Linked DNA regions of Caenorhabditis elegans. The protein of the gene in region 2 purifies or fractionates together with the protein of the main gene of each other region. This does not show direct contact. Each region holds a gene or a part of one and is shown on either strand. Other genes may lie near its edges. The genes, in order: Y46E12BL.2 and ddx-27.

What was found.
Region 1: the proteins of ddx-27 (region 2) and Y46E12BL.2 fractionate together in Caenorhabditis elegans (co-fractionation; one large-scale study listed by BioGRID). This does not show direct contact.

Annotation. Positions count from the first base shown.
Region 1 is NC_003280.10:15,231,054-15,234,974, reverse strand, and holds the start of Y46E12BL.2 (Ribosomal RNA-processing protein 12-like conserved domain-containing protein), read right to left. Parts: upstream 1,823-3,921; 5' UTR 1,814-1,822; coding exon 1,746-1,813; intron 1,681-1,745; coding exon 1,411-1,680; intron 489-1,410; coding exon 415-488; intron 366-414; coding exon 202-365; intron 1-201. Other genes in the region: spsb-2 (SPRY domain-containing SOCS box protein 1), read right to left, coding at 2,350-2,486, 2,781-2,946, 3,325-3,407.
Region 2 is NC_003279.8:1,766,007-1,769,927, reverse strand, and holds the start of ddx-27 (RNA helicase), read right to left. Parts: upstream 2,042-3,921; 5' UTR 1,987-2,041; coding exon 1,429-1,986; intron 64-1,428; coding exon 1-63. Other genes in the region: lin-65 (uncharacterized protein), read right to left, coding at 3,899-3,921.

The DNA.
Region 1 (3,921 bases), on a different chromosome or scaffold from region 2:
CGCGCTCTATCGAACAAATCCAATTGGCGGAAATTTAAATAGAAATTAGGGGAAAATTGTGATTTTTCCAATTTTCAAAAAATCATATAAAATCTGGAAAATTTTTTTGAACATTTTTATCATGATATTTGGTCATTGTGACCCCATAGGCATGTTTTAAAGCAATTTCCCCACTGCCGCTGCTTCACAAAAAGCCCATACCTGCACAAATCTGTGAAACTGAGCTTGAAGCACCTCTTTCGGCACCTTTCTCACAATCAGATGAAGCAGATAAGCGATTGCTGCCGTTCTTCTGGGATTTCCCAGCGAGGATCCTTCCAGCGCGGTCATCAGAGCCGCACAGTACTCAACGTCGGATTCTTTGCCTGAAAATCCCTAATTTTTAGGCCTAAAATTATGGGGGAATTAAACTACCATCCCGCTCTTTGATGACTTCAGCGATTGCTGCCAAAACCGAGACAACCTCTGCTTGAATAGAGGACCCAGATCTGAAGAAATAAATCTATCAGTCTACGGCTCGTGCTTTGGAAAAGAGATTCAAGAGTTTAAAATCAAATTTGAAAATAAAAAATTCCCGGTCTCCTGGAGTGTTATAAATAATTATTAGAGCGCGCTCGTGCGGCACCTCACGAACTCCAGAAGTCGCGGGAATTCGTTCCGCGGGGACAGCAGTTTTTTTGCTATTTTTGGCTCCTATAGGAAATATTTTTGATTTTTTGTTTTATAATATTCTTGAGAAGCATCATCCGAATTGAAAATGTGTAAAATTATGAAATTTAGCCGAAAACTGAAAGTTTTACAGAAGGAAGCCACTACAGTTTTAAAAAAATGTATCAGGATCGCCAGTTTTGCGTTTTATGTGTCGTAAAATATGTCATTTTGTAGAGAATTAAAAGTTTCATACGAATTTTCGTTTGAAAATTTAAAATTGCTTTTATTAAAAGCTTAAAAATTTAAGAAACAAGATTTTAACGTAAAATTGTTGATTTTTTGAATATTTTTATATTAGAAATTAAAGAATTAAAATTTCAAACGAAAATTCTCATGAAACTTTTAATTCTCTACAAAATGACATATTTTACGACGCATAACTCGCAAAACTGGCAATCCTGAAACATTTTTTTAAAAACTATAATGACTTCCTTCTGTAAAACTTTCAGTTTTCGGGCAAATTTCATAATTTTACACATTTTCAATTCGGATGATGCTTCTCAACAATATTATAAAACAAAAAATCAAAAATATTTCTTATAGAAGCCAAAAATAGCAAAAAACTGCTGTCCCCGCTGAACGAATTCCCGCGAATTCTGGAGTTCGTGAGGTGCCGAGCCAGCGCGCTCTAATAATTATGAACACTCCAGGAGGTCGTGAAATTTGTTGAATTTTTGGAAAAAACGCTAAAATTCTCACTTCCAGACCCGATTGACAGAATCAAACGCAGGATTTGTGCAAGCCGTGAATCCGGAGAGCTTAGACAAGCCTCCCTCGGAAACCATGCTTTTCGACGAAGAGCCGATATCCATCGAATGAATCGGAAGAGCCGAGAGCAGCATATCGTCGGCGGCGGCGGTGTTCATGAGACGATCCTCGACGGCAAGCATGCCGGCTCCGCCGAAAGAAGCATTTCTAGCGGCATTGGCAGCGGCGCGATGCTTGCTTCTCGTTGGGTTGCTTTCACATCTGAAAAAACAAAAAAACAATTAAATTTAATTATATTCAACGAATTTATCGACGTTTTCACTCACGCTGATCCTGAATTAAATTTCGCTGCTCCCTTCTTACTTGTACGATGACGGAAATTGCCACCTCCCATTGTTTTTATCTGAAAAAATGACAAATTTGATGGAAAATTCCTAAAACAAGGCGATAAACTGTTGGAAAACGATGAAAACTGATAATTTGAGTGCGCAAAAATTTATTTTATTGATTTTAAGTAAAAAATAACTGAAAAAAACCTTTAAAATGCAAGATTCTCAGCAAGAAATCGGCGAAGAATAGCGAAAAAAAATAAATTGTTCGGTTTTCGTGGCGAGACCCGAGGTGTCCAGAGGCCGCGTCCCCCCGCGTTTTCTAGGCCGTCACGCATTGAAATTGGCGGAAACTCAAATCGTGAAGCGATATTGAACGACAAAAGCTTTTGGAAAAGAGTCAAAATATTTTAAAACATTGTAAAACAAAATTCCAATTTTCATTCAGGTATAAAAGCAATATATTCAATATATAAATCTGAGTAATTCACAATTTGACAGCGAAATTTGCAAAAAAAAAAGTGGTGAAAAACCGTGGGGATTTGTGGGTTAGTGGAAAAGAGGAGAAAAATGTGAATTTTTGGCGAGAAAATGATCAATATCACTCAATCTCATACAACAAATATTCCTTCATAACCGGCGGGATCATCAGCGGCTTGATGCGTTTGTCGGGGTCTGGTCCCATTATGCTTCGGAAACGACGTCGACACAGTTCGAACAACGGTAGCATCTCGACTGCTGAAAAAAAAAAACAAGAATTTCGATTTGGTTCTGGCTTTTCTCGAATTTTTACAACTAAAATTTAGCTAAAACCGAGCCGAGCCGCGACGCGACGCGACACGCAAAGCGCCGTAAATCTACACCGGCCGTGGCCGATTCACAGCGCGTTGCGTGTCGCGTCGCGGCTCGGTTTTATTTGTAAAACATGATTTTAGAAACCGCGATTTCTCAGAAAAGAAACTCCGAGAAGGAGATCTACAAAAAGACAGCCATCACACCCTTTTTTCTGCGCCGCACGTTTACAAAACTCACGTTCCAGTGATCCCAGATGTGTCATGGTAATCTCACAGTCTCCATAAAGAGTCGCCACAGCTGGGTATAATCGTTTTCCCCGGAGATTTTGGAATACAACTCCGAGGTACTCGTTGTCTGTGGCGAATGACAGATTTCCTTGCTCCATGTCCAGAATGCAATAGATCTGAAAATTGATTGTTTTTGGGTTTTTGATCAAAAATTTCAAAAAAAAAAATGTTTTTTTTGTTTTTTATAGCAAAAATGGTTTTTTTGGTATTTTTTGGCAAAAAATTGGTTTTTTTTGTTACAAAATTGAGATTTTTTGGGTTTTTTTAAAGCAAAAAGAGATTTTTTGCCAAAAATAGGTATTTTATTGGCAAAAGATAATTTTTGCCACTTTTTTTTTGGCAAAATTGAGATTTCGGTTTTTTTGACAAAACTTGATTTTTTTGGGTTTTTCAAAACGAAAATTGATTTTTTATCTGGCGAAAATGGTTTTTTTTTTGGGTTTTATGGCCAGAAATTGATTTTTTCGGTTTTTTTTTTTGGGAAAATTGTTCACCTTTTCAGGAACATTGAAACCATCTCGACCATTCCCGTACGGATACTTCCACTTCCACGAACCGTAGTGACATTCTCGTGTAGCTGAAAAAATTGAAGAGTTTGGGTTTTCAATCGCTTTTTCTAAATTTTCTTTTTGTATTTAACATTTAAAACTGGCCAATTTGCATAATATTTGCCTATGGGGTCACAATGACCGAATACCATGATTAAAAATTCAAAATAATTTTCTAGATTTTATATGATTTTTTGAAAATTGAAAAAATCTCACTTTTCCCCTAATTCCTTTTTGAATTTCCGCCAATTGATTCGTTCGATGGAGCGCGCTTGCATTTAAAAAATTTTTTTTTCATCAATTTTTCGCATTTTTGACTGATTTTTCATGTTTTTTCGTGTAATTTTATTGGAAATTTACCGAAAAATTCAAGATAAATGTAAATTGTTCATTAAAAAGCGGGTATTAAAGTCTAAATTTGTGAAATTGAATATTTCAGGCTCTCAACGTCGTTGGAAAACGTTATTTATTTGTTTTTCAGTTATTTATAGTGAACAATTTACGCTTATCTTCAATTCTTCAGTAAATTTCCAATAAAATTAC
Region 2 (3,921 bases):
GAGAATTGGAAGAACGAAGGCGGCGGTTTTTCCGGTTCCAGTCGCTGCACAGGCGCAAATGTCCTGAAATTGAACAGTTTTAGATCAATTTTTGAAGAAAAAAAAAATCACTAAATGTCCTTTTTTTTTAAAGGAGGTGTAGTCGAATTTTTTAAATTGCTTTATTAGACTTAAAATTGTCTGAAAACACCGAATTTCATAATGAAACTTCACAAAAAATTTCCAAAAATTTTTTATGGCTTGTCAAAATTTCAAAAAAAAAGAGCCAAATTTTGCTAAAATCTGAAATTTCGCACACTTTTCTTTGTCACAGCTGCTGGATTTTAACTTTTCTGAAATTATCACCTTTTTATCCTTATTTTGGTAATTTATATTTTTGGATGCCTATCAGCCTAAAAGTTGTCTCAATCATCGAATTTCCGTGATATAAATTACCAAAATAAAGATTAAAAGGTGATAATTTCAGAAAAACTAAAAACCAGCGGCTATGACAAAGAAAAGTTTGCGAAATTTCAGATTTTAGCAAAATTTGGCTCTTTTTTTTCGAAATTATGACCGGCCATAAAAAATTTTTGGAAATTTTTCGTGAAGTCTCATTATGAAATTCGGTAGTTTTGGACCATTTCGGGTCGGAAAAAGCAAAGGTTCAAATTTCGGTACTCCACCTTTAATTCTTGTCAGAAAAATTCCAAAAAAAAATTTTCCGCAAGATTGCAGTACCTTTCCAGTAAGTGCCACCGGAATACACGCCTGTTGTTTTTTTTTTGAAAATTTCAATTTTTTTTTGGACAGCAGTCTAATAAAAAAAACCCCAATCTGGTTATTTTTTCAGAAAAAATAATTTTTTTCACGAGAATTGTTTTTTTTTTCGCAAAAATGATAGAAACATTACCTTAAGTGAAAGTTGATTTTTTGCTGAAGAATTTTTTAAAAATTTAGTCCTGACAAAAATGTTAATCATTGGCTTTTTGTGTTTTTTTTTTTGAAAAGGAAGCAAATTTTTTTGAGAACGAAAAATTTCTGGTTCCTTCAATATACATATCCGTTTTTGGTATTTTTTTTTGTGAAAATTTTTTTTTCGGAAGAATATATATTTTTTTTGGAAAATTTGAATGTTCTTCAATTTTTTCTCTTTTTAAATTTTTTTTTTGGAAAAAAAAACGATTTTTCGGGCATCTTTCCAGTTTTTCATTAATGTTGAATTTTTCAATTTTTCCCAAAGGTAAAAAAAAAACTAAAATTGATTTTTGGCAAAAAATAAACCAAAACATTAATTTTAAGATTTTTCAATCCTTTTTTGCCTAAATTTTTTTCAAAATAATAATTTGGAGTCAAATAAAAATATTTCCCAGACATTTCACTACTCCACCTCTACTTTTTGTCAGAAAATTTCCAAAAAAAAAAATTCTCCGCAAAACAGCAATTCACCTTTCCAGTAAGTGCGACCGGAATACACGCCTGTTGAATAGGCGTCGGATCCGAATATCCAGCGCCGGAGCACGCCTTCAAAATCTGTCGGCTCAAATTCATTTGTTCAAATGATACATTAACACTCGTGTCGAGACTTTTTCCATCAATCAGCGCCGAAAAGAAATCCTCATTTTCCTGGGATTTCTTTGATTTTCCACTTTTTCTCTTCTCTCGTACAGTATCTCGTGTCTCTTTTCCACCCAATTGTTGAACATCATCCTCTTCTTCATCTTTCTCCTCGGCTTCAGCAGCTTCAGCTTCATCCTCAACAATTACAGCTTTTCCCGTATTCTTCAACTTTCTCATTTCGGCGATTTTCTCGTCCAGTGACGTTGGCGTCTGCTTTTTCAGATATTTCTGAAGATCCTCGGTTTCTCGATCGATAAATTGGGTGTCGCCTGACTCAAAAATGAAATCCTGAGCAAATTCTTCGGCGGCATTCGCCATTTTCTTCTTCTTTCTGACGGTTACTGCCTCGTCTTGGACTTGCTCGTCGTCCGACTCGTCGATTTCCATTTCTTCGTCGGATTCGACGGTTTTTGGGAACAAATTCACCATTTTTTTTTTGGCTCTGAAAATTGGGAAATACGATTTTTTTAGTGGGGGAGGGAATTTTTTTTGAAAAAATCCAGATTTTTTTGGATTAAAAAAATTAGGGCATTTTATTGGGTTTTTGTTGATTTCCAGAGGATTTTTCACTTGAAAAATATCGATTGTAATGGAATTTCTCTGAAAAAACCGTGAATTTCTCAATTTTTAGCTAAAATTTCAGAAAATCTCATATTTTGGAGCATTTTCAGAGGATTTTTGACTCAAAATTCTAGTTTTCACGGATTTTTCAGTCAAAAAATTTCGATTTTTATGGAATTTGTTCCTTTCAAAACCGGGAAATTTAAAAAAAACGACAATTTAATTTTGCGCTATTCAATTTTTTTGTTAGACAAAAATTACATTTTTTTGGCTATTTTTCTTGGAAAATTTGAATTTTCTATATTTTTTGGACACCAGTCAATTGAAAAAATATTTTTTTCTGAAAAAATCCAACAATTTTTGGATTTAAAAAAAATTGACATTTTATTTGGTTTTTGTTAATTTCCAGAGCAATTTTTCTGTCAAAAAATATCGATTGTAATGGAATTTCCATGACAAAACCGGGAAATTCTCAATTTTCAAGCTAAAATTTCAGAAAATCCCATTGTTTGGATAATTTTCAGAAGATTTATGACTGAAAATTGACTTCTCCGCGATTTTTATGGAAATTTTAAAACAAAAAAATCAATTTCAATGATTTTTTTAAAACAAAAAATATTCTCAATTTTTAGCCAAAAATTTTTGATTTTTCAGGGATTTTTCAGTCAAAAAATATCGATTTAAATAGATTTTCCTCGCAAAACCGTGAATTTCTTAATGTTTAGCTAGAATTTCAAAAAATTTAATTTTTGACTGAAAATTGATTTTTTAGGAATTTTTAGTCATAAAATCATCAATTTTAATGGAGTTTTTCCCTCTCAAAACCGTGAAATTCTTAATTTTTGCCAAAATTTTAGAAAATCTCAAATTTTGGGTTTTTGGGAACAAATTCACCATTTTTTTTAGAAGGGGGAATTTTTTGAAAAAATCGGAAAAAAATCCAGAATTTTTGCATAAAAATTTTTTTTTGGCATTTTATTTGGTTTTTGGAAACGATGGGCTGTAAAAAAGATTTTTTTAAATTTTGTTAATTTCCAGACGATTTTGCAGTCAAAAAACTACTTTTAATGGGATTTTTCCCTCTTTTTTTTTTTTTTTTTTGTTTTTTTTTTTTTTCATTTTTAAATGAAAAATTACGAATTTTTCGGCATTTTTCTGTGCTAATTTTTTAAAATTCTATATTAAAAAAATCTTTTTTTAGACTAAAATTTCGAAAACTTTGCCATTTTTGAACAAATTTTCTCAATTTTTAATTTTTTAAGCTACAAAAGTGAATTTCTACAAATTTTCGAATTAAAAAAAAAATTGAATTGGTAAAGAAAACCAATAAAAATCACGACGAAAAAATTCAAAATTCTCCAAAACCTCCATAAAACAGTGTTTTTCATACAACACATTGAGAGAGGCACCAATTGAATAGAATAAATAGTAATAAAGCGAAAAAATGGGGAGAAATTACCACATATTTTGGCATTACAACGGGGGGAATAGAAAAATTCAGAGAAATATTGAAAATTATCAGAAAAAAACGGGGAAATTCAGGAAAAAATTGAGATTCAGAGAGAGAGAGAAAGAGATGAAAAAGATTTTTTGAAAATTAAAAAAATTAAGAAAATCAACAAAAAAAAAATTACAGAAAAAATCAAAAAAAGCAATTTTTCAGAAGAAAAAACACGAGAATTTCAAATTTTTTAACAAAAAAATCCAGAAAAAAGTGCATTTGACGTGAAGAGATCGATCATTCGAGAGTGATGAAGGTGG